3 linked regions of the Mus musculus genome follow. The protein of the gene in region 2 purifies or fractionates together with the protein of the main gene of each other region. This does not show direct contact. Links are inferred from orthologs where the notes say so. Each region holds a gene or a part of one and is shown on either strand. Other genes may lie near its edges.

Region 1 (7,819 bases), on a different chromosome or scaffold from region 2:
TTAAAGCAAAAAGAGTGCATAGCCCAGGGCCTTCTCCTTGCTCTGAAATCCTTTCCTGCAGGGATCTCAGAGCCTGTTGATTTTTGAAGTAGACCCTGCGAGTCTGAGAGAATGTCACCACACTGCAGGCAGGAGAGTCAGGCTATGCTCCAGTCACATACATGGTCACCATATGCAATATAGAGTGCTCAGCTAAATCTACCTTTAGTGAAATGGTGTCTCAAACTGCATGCTTTTTCTAAAATGTGTTATATGTACATTGTGCTAAAGAATGACGTGGGCGGCCGAGATAGCTCAGTGGATAAAGTGCTTCCTGCACAGTCACGGGGACTCGAGTTTCACCCTCAGCACTTGTGTGAAAGTTGGATGCAGAGGACCAGGTCTGAAACCCTGTACGGGGAAGGTAGAGACAGGAGGGTCCATGGAGTCTGCTGGTGAGCCAGTGTAGCTGAATCAGCGAGCTCCTGGCTCAATGAGAGACCCTGTTTTTAAACATAATGTAGAAAACAATTGAGGAAGACACTCAATGTTCACCTCTGGCCTCCATGGGAACATACACACTCATGGACACATATAAATGCATACATGTACAAACACACATAGAAGACACACACACAATGATTCTCTGTTAATCTGAAATTCCAACTTAACTGGAAAAACCTGATTGTTTTTTGGGAGGTGGGGGTGGGACAATCAAACTATATAACATTTCACCCTACATTCTTGCATCACTCTATTCGGAGTTTCAGCTTGCCAATGAAGTCACCAAGTCACTAGCTCTAAAATCACTGCTCATCGAAGTTTATCTTAGCCAGAGCTTTATAAAGAAAGCTTGCACCAAGTTGTAAATTACTTACCCTCCGCACCTCTGCATTCAGTGTGTGCATGTGTGTGTATATTTGCCTGTCCATGCATGTACATGGACGTGTATATGTGTATCCATGTGTCCATGTGTGTGCGTGTGTGTGTGTGTGTGTGTGTGTGTGTGTGTGCATGTGTGTGGGTCTATGTGTTGTGGGTGTGTGGATATATATACTCATATATACATACAGAAATCCTATGAGGACACTGGGTACCTTCCTCTATTGCTCTCCATTGTACTGCCTAGGGACAGTCTGGCCTTACAGGCCCACATGGCCATGTAGGATTTTTGCATGCGTCCTTTGGGTTCACATTCAGGTCCTCATCCTTGCATCTCATGCCCTCTACTAGCCATCTCCTCAGTCGCATCCCTGATGGGTATATTTACTTTTTCTTAATTTGTGACTATACCTGTCAATCCAAGAGACTTCAGCTTTGGACCTTAATGTGAATAAGGAAAGGGGGAAGAGTTGACTATTCATCGAGAAAATTTCAGTTTGTGGAAACAATGATGGTTCAACCATCGGTGATAACTGAAGGAGTCTAGGAATTTTCACGTCCCATTTTTACTACTGAAAGCTGAGTGGGCTGCGCAGAAGCACCTGACTGCAAGAGCCTAAAGAGTGCAGGAAAAAACACCAATGGACAACACCAGACTGCACAGCGCCTGCCAAACGAAGCAAGCGATCAGCAGATTTAAGAAATGGCCACAGGATGGGAGGACACACTTGCAATACCATCGCTAACAGCCAGGACATGTCAGAAACCTGCATTAGCTCACACCTAACCCATTAGCAAACAGAGCAATGCAAACAAACAAAAACCCAACAACCCAGTTTCCAAATAAGCAACCACCCTGAGTGGAGACTTCTTGGAAAAAGATAAATGATGGCTACTGTGGTTATGAAGAAATAACCTACATCCCTGATAATCAGGGAAATGCAAATAAAATGTTCTAAGAGATACAATCTTGCTCTAGTTACAACGACTACTGCCAAAAAGAGAGAAAGCAGCAGTGAGCTCATCTCTACTCTGGAGCTTGAACACGTGCTCCCACGGACTCGACATTGAACCACTGAGCCACACACCTTGTTCAGAAAGGCATCCTTTACTTTCTGTGGGTGGAAAGTACTGTGACGTTGTGAAACAGAAACGGAGACGCCCTACAACTTGTTAAAGTGTAAGTCTCGTATATGACCAGCAATCCCAGGACTGGAGATATATCCAAAGAGAGAGAAGTCAGTGCTGAAGAGATGCTCGCATCCCAGGAGGCTCAGGATACATAACAGGCCCCAAATAGGAACAGCCTAAGCGCCCTCCCATCAACAGATAAATGGGAAACGACAATGTGGGGGGACTTATACAACAGATACAGTGAGAGAAAGGGATTGTAGAGGCACGGTGTTGCATGTATGTGGTTTTCATACTCAGGAGACTGAGACGAGAAGATTTTCATGACACAGATGCCAGTCTGGGATAGACAAAGAGAGACCCTGTCTTAAAGAGCCAGGAAGGAAGGAAAGAATGAAGGAGAGAGGGAAGGGAAGGGAAGGGAAGGGAAGGGAAGGGGAGGGGAGGGGAGGGGAGGGGAGGGGAGGGGAGGGGAGGGGAGGGGAGGAGAGGAGAGGAGAGGAGAGGAGAGGGGAGGGAAGGAAGAAGTGAAGGAAGCAAGAATGAAAAAATGGGAAAATTCACAGATATGAATAGAAGTTGAATATAAAAGTAGTTGCCCCATAGGAGGAACAACAATATGAACTAACCAGTATCTCCAGAGCTCCCTGGCACTAAACCACCAACCAAAGAGTACACATGGTGGAACTCATGACTCTAGCTGCATATGTAGCAGAGGATGGCCTAGTTGGTCATCAATGGGAAGAGAGTCCCTTGGTCCTGTGAAGGTTCTATGCCCCAGTGTAGAGGAATGCCAGGGCCAGGAACTAGGAGTGGGTGGGTTGGGGAGCAGGGGAGGAGATAAGGAGTTTTGGAGGGGAAACCAGGAAAGGGGATAACATTTGAAATGTAAATAAAGAAAATATCTAATGAAAAAAAAATAAGAACAGTAGTTACTCAAGGATAAGGCCGAGCCATTGGCGGCAGCGAGACTGGCCAAAGGGCAGAATGGTCTGATTAGAAGACAGGCAGTGCAGTGACGTGAGCTAATAGTAGTGTATGCTTCAAACCAGGAAGAAAGAATGCTTAACATTCTCATCTCAAAGAAAAAGCAAGTGCTTACGGTGACTGCTGTGGTAATCACTGCAGATCTCGTTATATATAACACCTTAGCCCATAAGTATGTGTGTTTATTATTTATCGATTAAAAACAAAGGCTAGCCCGACCCATCCAATGTGTGGAGAGTCTACAGGAGCAGAAGCATTTCCGTGCCATGACAATGAAGCCACATTGCCATTCCCTGGCACAGGCATAAGGCTGACTTTCTCCCTGTTGCAGTGCTCCCACCATGTCCACTTCTCACAGGGCCTTCTTCTAAGTGAAGCTGCAGCTATGGGACACTGGAATTGCCTTGCAAGATGTGCTATACTTTGATTTGACTCTCATTCTTGGGGATGCAGTCTGGGTCTCCTTTATCATTCCCAAAGTGCTTTCCCCATGCCTAGTCCAGCATCTCTCAATGCTTAATGCATACTGTACAAGAGGATTGCTAAGAGAGGGGTGTGCTTCGTGTTGTGATTTTGTAGTGTGGTGCTGGGGCTAGAATCCCAAGCTTCGTGCATTCTGGGCAAGTGCTCTGTCCCTGAGCTACACTGCACATTATTAGCAAAGATATAAACGTTAAAAATAAAAAAAAAAAAGATAAAAGGAAGAAAGAAGAGGAGAGGGGAGGAGAGGGGAGGAGAGGAGAGGAGAGGAGAGGAGAGGAGAGAAGAGAAGAGAAGAGAAGAGAAGAGAAGAGAAGAGAAGAGAAGAGAAGAGAAGAGAAGGAAATCTGACTGTCATGCTGGCGTGTGCCTATAATAGCAGAAGTCAGGAGACCAAAGAATCCTGAGTTTTGAGACCAGACTGAGCTTCAAAACAGAGGATACACAGTGAGACTTCGTCTCAAAACCAAGAATTCATTTAAAATTTAGAAAAGCACCCAAAACCCAAGGCCGATGCCCTATCAGAACCAACTGAATTAGAATGTTTCACATGGTGCTACTTGGACGTCAAGACTCCGGGAGATCCCAATATCCAGGCCCCGTTGCTGTGCCCTTCGGGCTTATTTGTACAATGCAAGACTCATAGCAGTTTGCTGCTAAACAACCAATGAGTGCCGGCGCTTCCCTTTTGCCTATTAGAGAGAGGCCCAGTGTGAAGCACACCCTTCAGACTTGCCCGCCTTCCTCATCTGAGTCTACGTTGCCTCCCAGAACGCCTACAGAAGACTGTCTTTTCTCTTTAACCCTATAAGGAGCTGAGTACTACTGTTCCGGAACACTTTTGCAAGAAGTTTATAAAGTTTGAATTGGTAACTTGAAAGTATGATGTCTACCCAGAACAAACAATCGCTCGCTCTGCTTCTGGGACTCTGGTCAATAAATAAGGAAATGATGTAAGAACAGTAGCTGTCTCTCTCAAGCGTCTTTGATCTCCAGCGCCAAGACGGAAACCCTGAAGTTTCACCAACTATTAATGCTGGGGAGGGATGGGTTCCGGCTGAGCAGAACAGCACCAGTGACCTAAAATGAAGCTGTATAATTAGAGCGTCCACGCATGAGTAATGGTTTTGTTTTCAAATTAAAGCACTGGGTTTGCCCTTGGGGAATTTGCAAAGCTCTCTCTTGTCAGCCTAGGCAGAGGAACCTCGGCACCAGCAAGCGCTGGAAAACTTTTTCCCAAAGTGTCTAGGTCTTGGTGGAAGTGGACTGGGTCGGTTAAACGGAGCACCGGTAGCTATCCGAAGTTCTTCCTTCCATCCGGTCCCCCCCCCCCCCCGAACTAAACAAGCTCTCTCTCCAGTTACCTCCCCCCCTCTCACCCCCTCCCACCCGCCGCGCGAGCGCCCCAATCAGCTCGGCGGTCCCAGCCTAGGGACTCCCGACCCGGGACCCTCGGCAGCACCTACCTGAGCGCTAGGAACCGCTCGCCCAGCAGCGCCAGCCCGATGCCCAGCAAACTCAGAGCCACCATCCGGCCCATGGTGCGGGACCGGCCCGCCGTCTGGCTCGGGCCTGACCGAGCAGCTCCGGACGCTGGGCCAGCTCCCCGCCCCGAGCGCGGAGCCGCGCCCGATCCCCGCCCCGAGCGCCGGCTCTGCAGCCCAGGCTCCGCCCGGCGCCTCGTCCTCGGAGCACATCCGCACATGCCCGCGTGGGAACCCAACTGAACTTGATTCCTTTCACAAACACCCCGCCAAGCCTCCGATCCTCGCGCAGCTGCACCTGCTCAGCTCCCTGAAAACTTTAGGGTGGCCTCTGCGGAGTTCCCTTAATTTAGTTAAGTTTGGGCTTGCTTTTTGCTGTTTTGGCCTGGTGTTTGAGGATACTTTCCCCCTCTGTTGTGTATAATTTTGGCTTTGAGAAGCTAGGAAACAAACTCAGGACTTTGTTCATATTAGGCTAGTACTGAGCCATATCTACAGTCATACACTAGTTTTGTTATTACACATACGTGTGTATAACATTTCTATATTTAAATATAAAATATATTTAGATAGTAATTATTAAACAACACAGAAAGTATATTATATATATATATGAAATCTATTAAAATTGTACTTTTAAATGTTCTTATTGTTTTGAACATAAGGTCTCATGTGGTCCAGGCTGGTAGGGAACTTCTGATCTGTCTACCTCCATATGCCAAGTTCTTGGGCCACTCAAGGCCCTGCCTAGAGTAATATGTTTTGCCTTAGTTCTTTATTTCATATGCATGGTTGTTTTGCTTGCATGTAAGTATATGCACCACATTCATGCCTGGTATCCACATAGGTCAGAAAAGGGTGCCCACTACACCAGGAAATACAGCCAGTGTTCTTAGTGCTGAGACATCTCTCTCGTTCAGACATTTTAAATATTCCTTTCCTTTTTTTTCTTCTTTTAGATGGGAAAAAAGTGGTTCTGGACAGGTCTTATATAAGAAGTTAGAGTTGGAATTACATCCTTTTATATTAAGATTTATAGCCAGGTGTGGTGACGCACACCTTTAATCCCTGCACTTGGGAGGCAGAGGCGGGTGGATTTCTGAGTTTGAGGCCAGCTTGGTCTACAGAGTGAGTTCCAGAACAGCCAGGGCTACACAAAGAAACCCTGTCTCGAAAAAAAAAAAACCAAAAAAAAAAAAAAAGATTTTAGACTAAAACACCACAAACTCGGGACTCACTGGAGTACTAATCAATTTTCTCTTCTTTCTCCCTTTTCATTTTAATACTTATTGATATACACTTATAAAAATATAAAGAGGGAGGGCACTCGTTGAGATTGCGACAGCTACTGGGTATAACTTGAAATCAGTTCCTAATTGTTCCCAGTGCTTAATTCCCACCTGCAATGTTTGCAGAAGCTACACAGTCAGTTCCCGGGGACCATCCTTTTCTGACAGTGTTTTGTTATTGCAGCTCGAGGTGACCTCAGATTTGAGGCTCTCTTGCCTTGCCCTCGTGAGGATTACCAGCAGATGCTGGCACATCAGGCCAGGTTTCTGTTTTGTAACCAACCATTAAGGAAAAGCAGATGCCGGTTTGTACCTGGCCCCTCACCAAAGGGAAAAGAAAGAGATCTTCCTGTTCCACACATCTGTGACCAGCCCTAAGGGACTCTGGGATGTATCCACTGTCTGATAGACAGCTGAACAATTGCTCTTTCAAAGTCCCAGAAGATGTACTTTTTATGCACTTTCCATCACAGATAACTTCGCAAAATACTGTTTGTCAGGGCACACAGTTAGGTGGGTAGGATTGCCAAAGGGATCAAGTGCACTGAAATGTGATTATCGAAGTGCTTTGAAAGTGAGTGTATGCCACAGAAATACAGTAATGACACAGCCCTTCTCATCTTGGCATGGGAGCCACCCTGTGCCCTTAATGGCATCTCTGAGTTAGGTGTGATCTTAGCACAGCAAATCAGAAAGCTCTAGAAACATTCTTTCAAAGGAAGATAAAGGGCCAGGGCTGGTGACTGACTGGAATCTCACCATGAAGCTAAAACAGAGACTGGAGAATATTGGGTTTAAAACTAGTCTGAACTAGATAAAAGGCTGAAGAAAAAAATTCAAATGAGGTTAGGTATGTTATTTAAAGATACATGTAACAACTATAGTGACAACTATTGCTTCTTTTGGTAACAAAAATTTTTAGTAGTTTCTTACCTTCATAAATGAAAGAAATGCAAAATTTCCTTTCAAATCAATGTTTTTTACCTTCATCCAAAATTATCAACAGCTCTGAACTAACTAACCTACTTATTTGTGTTTTTCTTCTCTTTCTAAGTATCCTGCCTCTAAAATATACCCTCGGATCCTTTAAATCATCCACGAGCCTCTTAAGTGAAGAGATCCAACTTGGGATGTCGCTTCTGACTGACTGCATAGACAGGCATTGAATTTTACCATCCGTGGCATGAATCATCAGGAGAAACCTTGCAGATACCATCAAAATTTAGGAGGGCGTGGTGCTATTACCTAAGTTCCTGGCTTAAGGTTGAGAGTTTGCTCTAGGATTCCTGACTCATCTGAGAGGTATATAAAAGTATGCCTCATGTATTGTGAGACATGCCTCCGGAACCGTGGGGCAAGAGCCGGGCAAAGCGCCTCCCCACTTGTCCTAAAGTTAAGTAACAGATCATGGAGTTTTACAATTCGGTGCTATTCTTAATGCCTAGGGAGACACCATTAAGTGGAGTGTTATAGTAATTCTCACCAAGTCCAGACTTGCCCTAACAGTGTTTCCCGACAACAGCTGAGAGACAGAAATCCAATGGCTGGCTTCAGTCAACACCAGCCTCTGACGACTTCTTGTTCTGG
Region 2 (7,063 bases):
TGATAACCCCAACCCCAAGTGCGGCAAAGGGTAAGTGCTGGCCAGGGAGCGCTGAGCTAAGCAGTCACTGCTGCTTCGACCTGAACCAGAAGCAGAGTTTGGATTGAGCAGGCTTGTACGGAAGGGTCCTCTGCCTGCCCTGCCCTAGTCCTGTAGGGCAGAGACACGGTTTAAAGAAACTCCTTAGGCTTCAGAAGGGTTAATCCTCACTGGGCACTCATTCTCCATGCTTGCTTCCTGTCCTTACCCCAGGCTATGGATGGAGGCAGATTTCCCATGCATATCACAAAGGAGTAGAGAGTTAAGAGGCCCAGTCAGTCCCATTGTGCCAGCAGGCTTAGAGACAGCATCTTTGCTTTGATAAGGTTACCACAGTTTAAGGTTTAGGTTCTAATCCCTGCTACCCCAGCCTTGTGAGAGGGAGATGAGCTATTTAAATCCCCAACCTGTCACCCATTGGCCACAGGGACAGGGACAGGATATCTGGCCCAGAAATAGTAAAGATAAGAGGTACTTTGTCCTGGACGAAGCTTTATAGGTGAAAGTTGAATACCGCATGTGTGTGATGTAACCAACACGGATAGGCTTGGTTTTGTAAGAAGCCACATTTGAGCCAGGTGGTGGTGCCAAATGCCTTTAGTCCTAGCACTAGGGAGTTTGAGGACAGCCTGATCTACAGAGTGAGTTCCAGGACAGCCAGGGATACACAGAAGCCCTGTCTGGAAGAGCAGCCAGGGGGCCTCCGCTGAGCAGTCCTGTCACTTGTGAGTGCCATATTTGTTCTGAAACTTCTGCTAGTTCTAACAAAGACTGCCTCTAAAAATTAAGGATAGATATTAGAACTCTCTTTGCTTTTTAATATTGAGGTTATTCTGGAATTTTCTTCATGAAAGCATGGGAGTTCTTTGGAATTTAGGAAGCAAAAGCCAAAGGGAGTATCCACTGGGCAGTGCCCCTGACTGGTTAGCACTCCCAGGCTGAGTGTGTGGTGGTATGCCCATTCACAGCGGCGAAGGTGAGGGTCCTTTACCCGGAGGCCTGGGCTTGCGTCCAGGCTCTTGTCCTTTCTCACCTCCTGTCACACAGCAGGAACATCTCAGCTGTGCATCATGTTTGGTTTTGAATGGAACCAGGTAGAGAAACAATAGCGGCCGTGCACAAGACAAAGCACAGCAGTACGGTAAGGCAGTGCCTTCCTTCCAGGCCCTTCATAGGAGGCCTCCTTCATCCGTGTGGCCTCTGAGCCGTGTCACAGTGCTCATATTCTGCCCATAGCCTTCCTGACACCCATACCTCTTCCTCAGGGGACATGCTGCTTACGGTTCAGCTGTTAACATTGTGGGAGATGACACTTACATTGGGGCCACTTACTTCATGACCTACCACACCATACTTAAGACCTCCGCTGACTATACTGATGCCATGAAGAAAGCTCGGCTAATAGCCAGTAACATCACGGAAACCATGCGTTCTAAGGGGAGTGACTACCGCGTATTCCCTTACAGGTGAAGCAGGGAGGGCGGGCTCTAGAGGGTGGGGTAGGGACTGCAGATCCTTCGCTCTCATTCTGACAGCTGCTTTATCCTCAACCAAGAGTAGTGTATGAGGGGCATTTGAGGTGAGCGGGCCAGTGTCTTTAGCCTCTGCTGTGCTCTGAGGACCGAACACAGACGTTGGTGTGTTGTCCCAGCCCAGAGAGTCACAGGAGAGTGAGCCTTGCACAAGGGACATGCTGGCAGGGATCCCTGCTGCCTGCTCATTCCTTGGGACATTGCTCTGATAACAGACTTCATTGGCTGGGGTCAGGGTTTGTTTTGTTGCTGCTGCTGCTTTCTCTGTGGAAAGTCAGGAAGGCAGAGCAGTCAAATGATTGCTCTTCTCAAACTGTGTGGTTAAATAATTCCAGCCTTTACGTGCAGACTTCCGGAGTAGGTGTCCTAGTTCTTGGGCAGTTCCCAGAACAGACCTGATTGGTTTCTTTCTTTTCCAATATGGGATTTTTCTGGAAGTGTTTATAAGGTAGCAAAAATTGAGCTTACAAGTAAAAAGTCTATGTAAGCACACATTCGGGGTAACTATCAGGCTGTCTTTGGATGTCAGTGGCTTTGCTCTAGGTGCATGGTGCCTGTGTGGGGTGGTGTCTGTCAGGGTGGGATAAAGAGGGAAGACCTGGGAGGACAAGCTCTAACCAGATAACTCTTCCTCTCCCAACCCCCCAGTGTGTTCTACGTCTTCTATGAACAGTACCTGACCATTATTGATGACACCATCTTTAACCTCAGTGTGTCTCTGGGCTCCATATTTCTGGTGACCTTGGTGGTTCTGGGCTGTGAGCTGTGGTCTGCGGTCATCATGTGTATCACCATAGCCATGATCCTGGTCAACATGTTCGGTGTCATGTGGCTGTGGGGCATCAGTCTGAATGCGGTCTCCTTGGTCAACTTGGTGATGGTTAGTCCTGGCCTTCTCTCACTTTGTCCCTAGCTCCTGGGAGTCTTGCATGAATTGTTCCTTGGATTTCATGTAAGTCCTAAAGTGGCCTGAAACACAGGTGCCACTTAGCTACATGGCAAATATGAGGTCAGCCAGAAGTAAATGAAATTGTCTGAAAACAAAAAACCATGTAGCCTAGTGACATTAAGACACTCGAGTTTGACTTACCAGGCTATTCTGTAGGGTTTCCTGTACAAGTTGCCCAGCATGCAAGTACTTAGGAAGTATTGAAGATGTAGTCAGGCCTGGTGATGCACACCTTTAGTCCTAGTACTCAGGAGGCAGAGGCAGGTGGAGTTTGAGATCAGTCTGGTCTACACAGGGAGTTCCAGGGCAGCCAGGGCTACAGAGAAAAATGGAGGGGCAGCTTAAAACATACTAATGGGAGGTAAACCCCCAGAACACCTTCAGCATGATGGGTTGGCGGTATGCTGCCTCAGTGGGGAAGGATAGGTAACCTTGGGAAGTTTCCAGAAATGTCCTTAATCAAAACCAAGATACTGTAGAAAAGTAGAGGCCTGGGTAGAGCCTTCAGGACCCAGGGTTTCCTCCTGTAGTTTAGAAGAATTTTCAGCTGGAAAAGCTCTGTTCTAATGGGGACGCTTTATTCCAGAGCTGCGGCATTTCTGTGGAGTTCTGCAGCCATATAACGAGAGCATTCACCATGAGTACCAAAGGAAGCCGAGTGAGCCGGGCGGAAGAGGCACTGGCCCACATGGGTAGTTCTGTGAGTATTGTTGGCCCCAGGGTGGGTGGGCTTGCAATGGGAATGCTTCTTCAGTGACTGGCTACTACGTCTCAGAAAAAACACAAATTCAGAGGATAAAACAATTTGGATCCATTCTGAAAATGGCAGCTCCCAGCAATGACAAATTCTCACATGATTCACTAAATAGCTATGTCTGAAACAGACCTGAAATCCCTCAGACTTGTCCTTGCTGTGTGATGTCTTAGACAATCAGATGGCTTAATCAGGAAAGTTAGGAAACGTTAGGCTTGAGAGAGCTGGAAGCCAGTATTATGGTGACACAAGGGGTCTCGTGAGTTCCAGGTGGCACTGGGTTGTCTGTAGTTAATGCCCTGAGGTCCTGATCCAGCCCTTTATCCTGCTGTTCCCCATCACTCAGTCCGCCACTCTGGAAAGTATCAGTGAAAACGTAAGCCTCTGCTTTGTAACAACTCCAGGCCAGCAAGATAGCCAGCATGTCTGAGGGGAGCTTGCTCGGCAAGCCTGGTTTTGATCCCCAAACCCACATGATCGATAGAAGAGAAGAGATGATTGTATAGAGTTGACCTCTGACCTCAATATGTGCTGCAGAAACACACACACACAAAGTCTTCTAAGTTTCCATCTAAGAATCTGCCTTGGTTCAGACTGCTTACTTGTTTGTTTGTTTGTTTATGTATTTTGGTTTTTCGAGACAGGGTTTCTCTGTAGCCCTGGCTGTTCTGGAACTCACTTTGTAGACCAGGCTGGCCTTGAACTCAGAAATCCGTCTGCCTCTGCCTCCCAATGCTTATTTATTTTTTAAAGATTTATTTATTTACTATTATATGTAAGTACACGGTAGCTGTCTTCATAAGAGAGAAGAGGGCGTCAGATCTCATTACGGATGGTTGTGAGCCACCATGTGGTTGCTGGGATTTGAACTCAGGACCTTTGGAAGAACAGTCCGTGCTCTTAACCACTGAGCCATCTCACCAGCCCCAGACTGCTTGATTTTAACAAAACTAGCCAAGACAGTTTTCTGAGAAAATGCATGGCTCTGAAATTTTCCTTCCTTCCTGGGCTGGGAGATGGCTTGAGTCCCCAGCACTCACTTAAGATGGGCACTGCAGTAAATATCTCTGACACCGGTGCTGTGAATAAGTTGGGTAGATCCTGTAGCTCAGACATGAGCCAGCCCGTCCAGCCATATGAGCTCCAATTTCAGAGAGACTGTCTCAAAGCATAAAGTGGGGAGTTGAGGAAGACATCCGAAGTTGACCTCTGACAGCCGCACATTTGCACTCAAACTTCCTTGGATTCATGCATGCTCATAAAGCAGCAGGCCAGACAGTTTGGGTACGGGGCAGGATGTGAGTGGTTGGACACTCACTGCTGAGGAAGGTTTGCGTGGCAATAGATGCTTGCTTACTTATAATAGGCTAACAGCTCACTTCTGCCTCTCCAGGTATTCAGTGGAATCACACTTACGAAATTTGGAGGGATCGTGGTGTTAGCCTTTGCCAAATCTCAAATTTTTGAGATATTTTACTTCAGGATGTACTTAGCCATGGTCTTACTCGGAGCCACTCATGGACTAATATTTCTTCCCGTCTTACTCAGTTACATAGGTAAGAGCATTTCGTTCTTCTCACGGGCGTGGGAGGAACGACATTTACTTAACAGGGCATGGTGTCACAAGCCTGAAATCCCAGGGAGTGGAAGCAGGATGGATCCAAAGTTCAAGGTCATTAACAGTGAGTTTAACCTAAGCTAAAAGACCCTGGCTCAAAGAAAAATTTAAACTTGGACTTTCTAAAGTATTTGAGTTTGTACTGACAGCTAGCTCATACTGCATTAAAACCATAGAAGGAAACAGTAAAACCTCCCCCAGGGCGTCTCGGTTGGCCAGGGCATTTCCTTAGGCATCCTGGAGGCCAGGGCTCACTCCACCTCATACAGTGACGCCCAGTTGAAAAGGTAACAGGATGAGTCTGCCTCACAGCTTTGTTACTAAGTCACTGGAGAGACAGCTCATCGGTTAAGAAAGACACTAGCTGCTCTTCCAGAGGACCCAAGTTCAGTCCCCAGCACCCCCATGGCAGCTCACAACTATAACTCCAGTCAGGGAATCTGACAGCCTCTTCTGGCCTCTGGAGCGCTGCATAGATGCTGTACCATGCAGCATCTTCTGGCTAGGCATGCATGCAGACAAAACACCCACACACAAAAATAAAATAGAAAAAAGCAACAAGAGCATGGCTGGTTTCCATGCCTAGGAGGTTACTTACGCCTTCTCTTGTCTCACACAGGGCCGTCGGTGAATAAAGCTAAAAGACACACCACTTACGAGCGCTACAGAGGGACAGAGAGAGAACGGCTCCTCAATTTTTAGCCTTGTAGCAGGCTTTGGTGACTGTGTTTATGGATAGGTCAAGTTTACTGCAAGACAGCTGCGCTGTCAAGACTGAGCTGGCTTCAGGCTGTGTCCGAGCTGTGTCACATGCAGCTCTACCCACGCTTTTAAACTCAGGAATGCACACCTAACTTGTGAAGCAGTATTAATGGATCTGAAAGCAACAATCGCCAGCCCCTACTGTCGTACCAGTAGAAACCTCATCTTGGGTACAAGGAAGGATAGTTCTGTCACTTTAACTTGTTTCAATGCCTACTTTTAATGGAGGTTATTAAACACTTTAACCTCCCTTCTAGCCCACCACCAACCAGAGATAGTGGGAAAGAAAGGATACAGGGGAAGTGGACCTGTTTAGAAATGGTTCTTTGGAGCAGATCCTGTCTGCATTATCAGGAAACCAGCAATTCAGTTCACGGGTCAGCAGTGGCAGCTCGACCCACTCGCAAACACTTCACGGATACACCAGCAGTGTTGGGATAGGAGCAGCCAGGCCTCAGCAGGAGGGACCAGGGCCGACAGGAACACCAGAGGTTCTTGGCTGTTCCTCTATCAGCGAAGACTGGAGACCAACAAACATTACACAGCTAGCTCTATATTCTCTCTGTGGAGTCCCAACACATGGAGCTCAACTACACAATATAAGGCAGACCAACCAATACATGCCTGTCATTCACGTGTCCTTTCATGTGCTTGCTTTAGGGAAACAGTCCTTCACAAGTCTGCCTTTCACCTGTGTCTGCTTCAGCAAAATGTTCTTTCACATTTGCCCCAGCAAAACCCCATCTAACACAACTGACTTTCCAAAGAACCCTTAAGTTTCCATTTCCCAGTGGCAATAACTGTGACCTGATCCCTACCCCACATGCTGTCTCCTTTTCTTTGGGAGTTAGCAACATTTGAGGATGTTGTAGGTACTTTATTACATTTTTTTGTAGTTTAAAGAGCTTTATTAATGCAATAAATTAACTTTGTACATTTTTATATTAAAAAAAAAAAAAGACTATTAAGGGACTTCAGAATGTTGTAGGCCTCATTAGAGCTTGTTCTCCAAAAACCTGCTTGAAAAAGGCAACGTGTTCTTCACAGTGCTCTCCTGTAAGGACAACGCGGCTCAGTCAGCAGCTGGTTATGGCCCGGGAAGACAGGATGCAGACAACGCTCATGGGTTTTAACTTATTTTTCTTTAATAAAATACCTCCTCCTCCATTTTGAGGTCTTTTATTGCAGAGCTCACACCTTCAGCAGCCAGAGCATCCCTGACCTGTCTGTCACTCATACCGTCTGTGCTGTGTGTGTATACACAGCATAGGCTCATTCTCTCGAGTCCTGTCTTATCACTACTTGCTTAAAACTGAAGCATTCAAAGCCCAAGCCATTTCAAATGCTTCTCCACCATGTGCACTCCTGTTCTGATTCTATAGAGAGATCCCAAAGTCAGATATAAGCTA
Region 3 (7,663 bases), on a different chromosome or scaffold from region 2:
CCTTTTTTCCTTGAGACAGGGTGCCTCGCTGAACTCGAAAGTATGCTATGGATTGGCAAACCCCAGCAAGCCCCCCCTGACCCCCTATACACCCTGTGCATTGCAGGGGTTATAAGCACATAGGTGGTTATGCTCAGCTTTTAACATGGGTGCTGGGATCTGAAAATGGGGCCTCATATTTTATAGCATGTACTTTTACCTATTGACCAATCCCTTCAGCCCTGTAGACGGCATTTAAAGTTACAAAGGGATAAGGATCTGCCAAAATAAAGGGGGGAAAGTACCAATAAAGAAAAAAAAGAATTGGGAGGGCAGGAGAGATGGCTCAGTGGTTAAGAACACTGACTGCTCTTTCAGAGGTCCTGAGTTCAATTCCCAGCAACCACATGGTGGCTCACAACCATCTGTAATGGGATCTGATGCCCTCTTCTGGTGTGTCTGAAGACAGCTACAGTGTACTCATATATGTAAAAGAAAGAAAAAAAGAATCCTTGAAGCCCAAATTTGTCTTAAGAGATTTATCTGTATCAAAAGTTGAGGGCCACAGGACTAGATTAGTGGTAGAACACATGCTTAGAATGTTTAAGACTTCAGATTTGAGTTCCAATACCAACAACGAAAGTTAAAAACTATGGAATGACCACTGGCTTTAACAACAGAGATGGGGGCAGGGAGGATAGTCCTTTATAAGACAGGTGATGGGACATATGGGCATCCCTGATATCCATGTGTTCCTAGACTAGAGGTAGAACTGGGTACCATGCAGAATTTGTCTATAAAGATCAAGAGGCTGCAGCTAGGGCTTGTCACAGCCACCATGGTGGTAATGAGAGCTCAGAGAAGGTATCAAGATAGCCAATTTGCCTGGGTTTCAAATTGTTGATGCTTTTTGTTGTTTGAGACAGTCTCATCCTATAGTCCTGCTGGTCTACATTTACTATGGACACCTGGCTGGCATGGAACTTGCATAGATCCTTTTGCGTCTGCCTCCCAAATGCTGATATTATAGGCGTGAGCCACTCACTATGCCTGGCTAGACCTTTGATGACATTGTCAAATAAGGTTATGCACGTAGCCTTTTGTATTTGTGTTCGTTAGACTGTTTAACTATATAACCTTGTTTCTCCCAATATTAGTTTAACAACTCCAAGAAATAGGAAGGGTCCGGACTTTATTCAACCTAAATAGGACCAGGATGAAGGTGGCATGAGCTTGGTGACCTGTGGGCAAAAAAGCCATGAGCAAGGTCCTTAGGAATGAGTGTACTTTTGGCTCTATCTGCCTTGTGTATTTTGCCTGATCCTGCCCCAGGCAGGAGCTCCCCAATAAGTGCTGGGTCAAAGGCAAACCAGAGCAGAGGAACTCTTGTTCCAGTTAGTGGTGTACTCTATTCTGTCAGCCCGGAAGAACCAGCTGAGGTCTGTTTCAGCTCAAATGTGGGAGCACAGTGCCACCCCATGGCCATGTGCAGTGAAGTTCTCAGGACCACCTCTAGGACAGACTAGCAAAGTAGACACACGGGTCTCATTTTTTCATATTCAAAAACTTATCTCGAGGGGCTGGAGAGACGGCTCAGCAGATAAGAACACTGACTGCTCTGTCAGAGATCCTGAGTTCAAATCCCAGCAACCACATGGTAGCTCACAACCATCTGTCATGGAATCCAAAGCACCCTTCTAGTGTGTGTCTGAAGACAGCTGCAGTGTACTCATATAAAAAAAGAAATAAAATTAAAAAAAAAATTTATCTCTATAGATGCAAGCCAGCCAGCCTCAGTGACTCATCTGTCTTCTAAGGGTGTGGTTAGCACAGCGCTTGCCCAGACTGCACAAAGCCTTGGCCTTAATTCTCAGTCCTAGGAAGTGGAAGCTGGAGGTTAAGTTCACGGTGAATTTCAGTATCACATCGTAAATTCTAAGTCAGCTTTATATTGCGGGGGGTGGGGGGGGGCACTCTGGGTGTGGTGGTGCTCACTTCCAGTTCCAACACTCAGATGCCAACAGCAGGCAGAGCTGAGTCTAGAGCCAAAGGTTTAACACCACCACCCCTAGAAGGCTGACTTCAAAGTAATTCTTAGCACACTCCCTTCTGTCTAAACCTTGTCTTACAAACTGGATTGTACAGGAGGCCTTTTAGTGCCCCAGGAGGCAGCTGGCTTCCCTGCTGTTTAGACACATAAGGAAACGAAACTGTTTAATATGTTTTTATTAACAGAGAGAGACAAGAAGACAGAGATTGCAACAGATATGTCTGGAAACTGATAGGGTGTGCACACACACACTAAAGGCTTCTTTTGGAATGGGGTGGCTCCTTGGACCCCGGCTTACTTCTCCAGGTCCTCTCCTTGGGAACTGGCCCTGGGGCACTAGCCAGCTTTCCCATTCTAACCCCAACAAGGGTCTCCGTAGTGGAGGACCTCCCTTCCCTTTAGCATCCTCTACATGCCTCTGCTTTCCCAGCTGAACTGGTTGCCGGGGGGGGGGGGCAGGGAGGACAAGCCAGGGGGGCATTTGCATAGCAGGGGAGTGGAATGGAGATAAGGCATATGGTGAGGAAAGGGATGAAGGGAAGGGCATCATAGCTGCAGGTGAAGGGGACCTCCGAAGGGCAGCTCCTCTTTCCCTTCACCAGAGATTACTACAGGAATGAGGCATCAGAGTGAGGTAGTGTGTAACATCTACCTCAACCCTTGATCCCAGAGCCCTGAATGCCAGCAGGAGGCTCTAGGAAAGCCTGAGTCAGTGAGTCAAGCTTGTGATGTGTGTTCAAACATGACTGGCCCCCTGGAGTATATGTAGAGGACCCTTTCTGGGTGGATGTGAGTGCATGATCTTACAGTACATACAAGTCTTAGCATCTCTGTGTCTCATTTGCTTCCCAAGAGCTGTGTCTGGATGTACAAGTATGTATGTCCTTCCTCATACAGCAGGTACTTAATATCTGCATGGTATACGCTGCTGTCTGAATATGAGTTCCAGCGAGTAGAGAGATGGATGTGGTCCTGCCGCGCTCCTGTCCATCCACAGATCTTCCTTCAGGCCTGGCTGGTCAGGAGTCTTGGCCAAAGAGGTAGGTGGTAAGCTCAAGCCGGAGGCCCCGGGCATAGGCCCGAAGGGTATAGAAGAGTGTGAGGTAGTCCTGGGTGCTGAAGAAAGTGTCGGCTAGTGCAAAGAACAGGGTAGACGGAATAACACCCCGGCCGTACTCCACCATCCACGTGTTTGGTCCCCACTCCAGAGCCGTTGCTTCTCCAGGCCCGTGTACAACTGTCTCTCCTGGGAGACAGACAGGATAAGAAACCTCATGAGGAGCCCAGCTCTGCCCTGGCCTTCCATACTGCATTTGTCTAGCCTATGGGCTATCTATGGAGAGGAGGGGAATGAAAAGACAGTTTCAAGAAAAGAAAAAGTTCTTCTACCCTACTGGCCAAGCTGCTTGATCAGAGGACAAAGACCAAAACACCTAATACCAATGGCATCACCTGGCCCCTGGAAGGCCACCCAACCCAGCTACAGGCTAACGTATAGAATTATGGCATCTGCATTTCCAAGCTGCACTCATATCTGGTGGAAATTCTGTGTGGTTACAGGGCTTGCCAGGCTCTCTGAGAAATGCGCCTGTTCAGTCACAAAGTGTGATGCTTAACCTTACACCAGCAAGCCCACGCCTTTTTTTCTTTTAAACAGATTCAGAGGTACATTAAAAAAACACCACCAGGAGTTTGCTAGCCAGATGGCTCAGCTGTGCCCTGGCTCCTACTCCAGAGGACCCAGGTTCACTTCCCAGCACCCACATGAAGGCTCACAACAGTCTATAACTTCAGTCTCTGGGATCAGATGCCCTCTTCTGGCCTTTAAGGCACCAGGCAGTTAAGGGGTTGGTGTGTGTAAGCAAAACCCAGACGCATAAAAACAAACAATAACAAAAATACAAAAACCCCAAACTGCCACTCTAGTTTAAGGAAACAAATGCCTGTCTTAACTTTTGGGTATAACCCAGATAATTGCTGGGTTAAACAGGCTGATAAAAAAAATCAAGTTCTCTATGACTGGAAACTGCCGTGTTCTGTTTCCCTTAACAGTCGAAAGCATCAGGGTTCCTAGCTCGACCCTAACGAAACACCTGTGGCTTACCAGGGAGGGAAGGAAGGAAATCACTGGTAGGCCTTCTAAACACGCCCTTTCCAAGTCTTATGCCCGTCCCTATCTAGAGGGCGCCCCCTCGGACAGAACTTCCCTACGCACCTGGGTAGAAGACCTCACTTTTCGTGGTGCCCTCTTTCCATTGGTGGAAGGTGCCAGAGATGATGGTGTCAGAAATCTCAGCCCAGTATCGTCCTGATTGACAGTAAAATAGACACCGACCATCAGGGAATCCTTGTCAATACACGGCCCAGCCAAACCTTGGAATGGAGGGCACCGGCCCTCGAACAGTCCCAGCCTCCCAATCCGACCCACCGCCAACACTGACCCGAATGGCCATGGGAGCCCAGGGCGGTGCCGAAGAGCAGCACGTACTCAGACAGCGAGGCGTGCAGAATACACATGGCGCCCATCCAGCCGCCCGCGTTCACAAATACCCACTGCAGCTCCTCATCCGGCAGCACGTGGCCTGGGTGCAGCCTCCGCAGCTCCACGATCAGCCGAGAGAAGGCAAGCTCATGGTCCAGCCCTGGTGCAAAAAGGAGAAGCGCGGGTGAGACCAGCCCGCGGTCTGAGCTTGGCGAGGACCAGCCCTCGGAAAGCGCGGCTCCGCTCCGTGTCGGCCCACCCCACTCTCCGCCCTCACCGGCTCACCCGCATACTGTCGAGCAAGCTGCGCTATTTCTTCTCTAGAGAAGACGAAGTTTTGAGTGCCCAGCCACAACCAGGCGGCCTGGATCAGCACTGCGATAATAGTCAGAATCAGGGTGATCCATGCCCACCGCCGTCCCGCGGCCCACGGCATTCTAGCGGGCAGCCTGGCACCACCAACGTAAGACCGAACTAGGGCCACAGGCTGTGGGTTCACGACTCAAAAGCCGCTGCCTACGGTCGCCCCCGCCACCGTGGTACGGCTCGCCGGGGCCAATCGGAACGTCCGGGTCACCTAGCACCGCCTCTGGATTGAACCATTTTCTAGAGGGGAGAGCGTAGGGTTTAGTGGCTTGGTCTGCAAGAGAGGTGAGAGGCGGGGCCTCGCCTCCTGGCTGCCACCCTGTTGGGTTCAATCTTGGTGTCCCCAAGCGGGGAGACCCAGAATGGATTGGCCCACCTGAGCTAGCGAGCCCAGAAGTAGAGCTTTCTAGGTCTGCTAGCACAGAAGCAGGTTGAAGATAGTGCCACTGGGAACCTTAGGAAAGAAGCGGTGATATCTGAAGTGTCCATGAGAGAGAGAGAGAGTCAATGGGAACTATTCCAGGAGTCAAAGAGCAGAGGAGTGTGAGACAGCATACATGCATTTATGTATATATGTATGTGTACATATATTTGTAATATTTTAGACAACTTTAGCTAGCCTATAGACTAGGATAGCCTCGATCGATGCCTCTCCAATACTGGGATCAGGGGCGCGCACCACCATGCATGTTTAGCTTAGTGTTTTCTCCGATCCTATGATTCATTCTATGTTCTGAAGCACAAAAGTGTGAAAGACCTTGAAAACCAATAGATTTGTCCACTGGGGAGCTATGGGATTCGATGTTGACACAGAATGATTCTGGGCTAAATAGAGGAGGGGAGCAAAATTGGACTAAGATCTAAGACAGAGAGCCCATATGTGTCAGCATTTAAGAGTATGCATTGATAGCTTTATCTGTAACATAGACTAAATTAAAAAGTATCTGCTTCGTAGCCCATACCTTCATTATGATTAACATTAAATGAATTAATTTTTTAAAGTAATTAGTGCCTGGCACATGGTTAGGATTATACATGTTAGTTAGAAAAAGACAATGTAAGACATGTATTGCTTGTAATTCTAGAACGTGGGAAGGCACCAAGATCAGTTCAAGGTCACCATAGCAAAAGTCAGCAGAGGCCTCAGGAAACCATGTCTAAAGCAACAACAAGAACAACAGCCAAACCCATAAAGGAGCTAGAACACAAAGAACTGATGGAATGAAATCCATCAGGCAAATATAAGGGAGGGGTTCACGAAACATGGGGAATGGCTTTTCATGGCATTTTTATGTGGCAGAGACATTTCTTTTTGCTTTTTTTTTTGGTTGTTTTGTTTTGTTTTGTTTTGTTTTGTTTTGAGACAGGGTTTCTCTGTATAGCCCTGGCTGTCCTGGAACTCACTTTGTAGACCAGGCTGGCCTTGAACTCAGAAATCTGCCTGCTTCTGCCTTCTGAGTGCTGGGATTAAAGGTGTGCGCCACCATGCCCGGCTTTCCTTTTGCTCTTGAGCGACCAAAATACATTCTATAATCTCTGTATATGGGGCCATGTACCAGGTGGTTTTATTCCAGATAATAAAATGGAAACAGAAATGCTGTAAGACATTTTCAGGTCTAGTTTCTAAAAATATGTGAAATCTTGAGGCTGGAGAGATGCCTCCGTGGTTAACAGCACTAGCTGCTCTTCTGCTTTTCCAGAGGATCTTGATTTGATTCATAGCATGCATATGGTGGCTCACAACTGTTTGTAGCTCAGTTCCAGTAGATTTGACTCCTTCTAGCCTCTGTGGGAATTGTACCCACATGATATACTGGCATACATGCAGGCAAAACACCAATACATATATTTAAAAAAAAAAGAAATTCTGTCCTCTCTCTTTTCACCTTTGCCAATTTCAGAAGACTTATTGTTGTGTGACAAAATGTTTCCTGAGGAAACACAACACACTTCAGATAGGGAGCCTATGACAATTGAAAGTACAGATACCACCAAAATCCAATTTGGTGAACTAATGAGTTTTATTGGGGTTACTTGCTGGACTGTGGGTGAGGAGTTACTTGCAGGAACAGAAATCAGAGTCAAAGACAGCTGCATCACCAAAGCCCAGCCCAGCATGGGTGACAGCTCACAAAACCTGGAAGCAGCCTGAAGGCTCTACAGGTTGTAGTGTCCTTTTCAAGAGACTCTAGTCTAAACCTCTCCCAAGCAGCTTGACTAGTCTGTTTCTTCAGGACTAGTCTGGTCTCAAGATACTTTTTTGCAGCTTGGCTTCACTTTGTCTAAATGGGACTCTCAGCATTTATTGCTTACTATAGCAGGGAGGAGTCTAGTAAATTTGGTCAGTTTCAGGGACTTCCTGAAGCTGTTTTGAGTTGGTTTCCATCCTGCTAAAGGAATTCTTGCAGGATGGATTTTAATACTACAAGTATAATATAGTGGTTCTTCTTGGTCATCAACTTGACTACATCTGAAACTCAAAAAACACCTGTGAGGGTTTATTTTGTTCTTAATTAAATCATTTGATGTGAGCCGGGCGTGGTGGTGCATGCCTTTAATCCCAGCACTCGGGAGGCAGAGGCAGGCGGATTTCTGAGTTCAAGGCCAGCCTGGTCTACAAAGTGAGTTCCAAGACAGCCAGGGCTATACAGAGAAGCCCTGTCTCAAAACAAAACAAAAAACAAAACAAAACAAAAAAACCAACAACAACAACCAAAAAAACCCCATCTGATGTGGGAAGACTTACTTCTGAGCCAGATCGTTGAGATAGGAAGATACATTATTAA

The links.
Region 1: the proteins of Npc1 (region 2) and Pon2 purify together in Homo sapiens (affinity purification with mass spectrometry; 3 studies listed by BioGRID and IntAct, with this or other methods). This does not show direct contact. The link is inferred for Mus musculus from reciprocal best matches to the Homo sapiens genes NPC1 and PON2.
Region 3: the proteins of Npc1 (region 2) and Sigmar1 purify together in Homo sapiens (affinity purification with mass spectrometry; 3 studies listed by BioGRID and IntAct, with this or other methods). This does not show direct contact. The link is inferred for Mus musculus from reciprocal best matches to the Homo sapiens genes NPC1 and SIGMAR1.

Annotation. Positions count from the first base shown.
Region 1 is NC_000072.6:5,293,287-5,301,105, forward strand, and holds the start of Pon2 (serum paraoxonase/arylesterase 2), read right to left. Parts: upstream 5,055-7,819; 5' UTR 5,000-5,054; coding exon 4,926-4,999; intron 1-4,925. UniProt on the Homo sapiens protein: Capable of hydrolyzing lactones and a number of aromatic carboxylic acid esters. Has antioxidant activity. Is not associated with high density lipoprotein.
Region 2 is NC_000084.6:12,189,451-12,196,513, reverse strand, and holds the end of Npc1 (NPC intracellular cholesterol transporter 1 precursor), read left to right. Parts: coding exon 1-30; intron 31-1,304; coding exon 1,305-1,505; intron 1,506-2,219; coding exon 2,220-2,451; intron 2,452-3,106; coding exon 3,107-3,220; intron 3,221-4,667; coding exon 4,668-4,830; intron 4,831-5,511; coding exon 5,512-5,594; 3' UTR 5,595-6,628; coding exon of another isoform or gene 6,629-6,708; 3' UTR 6,709-6,820; downstream 6,821-7,063. Other genes in the region: Rmc1 (regulator of MON1-CCZ1 complex), read right to left, coding at 6,629-6,708. UniProt on the Homo sapiens protein: Intracellular cholesterol transporter which acts in concert with NPC2 and plays an important role in the egress of cholesterol from the endosomal/lysosomal compartment.
Region 3 is NC_000070.6:41,736,306-41,743,968, forward strand, and holds Sigmar1 (sigma non-opioid intracellular receptor 1), read right to left. Parts: upstream 5,055-7,663; 5' UTR 4,948-5,054; coding exon 4,797-4,947; intron 4,672-4,796; coding exon 4,471-4,671; intron 4,338-4,470; coding exon 4,245-4,337; intron 3,276-4,244; coding exon 3,049-3,275; coding exon of another isoform or gene 2,934-3,048; 3' UTR 2,188-2,933; downstream 1-2,187. UniProt on the Homo sapiens protein: Functions in lipid transport from the endoplasmic reticulum and is involved in a wide array of cellular functions probably through regulation of the biogenesis of lipid microdomains at the plasma membrane.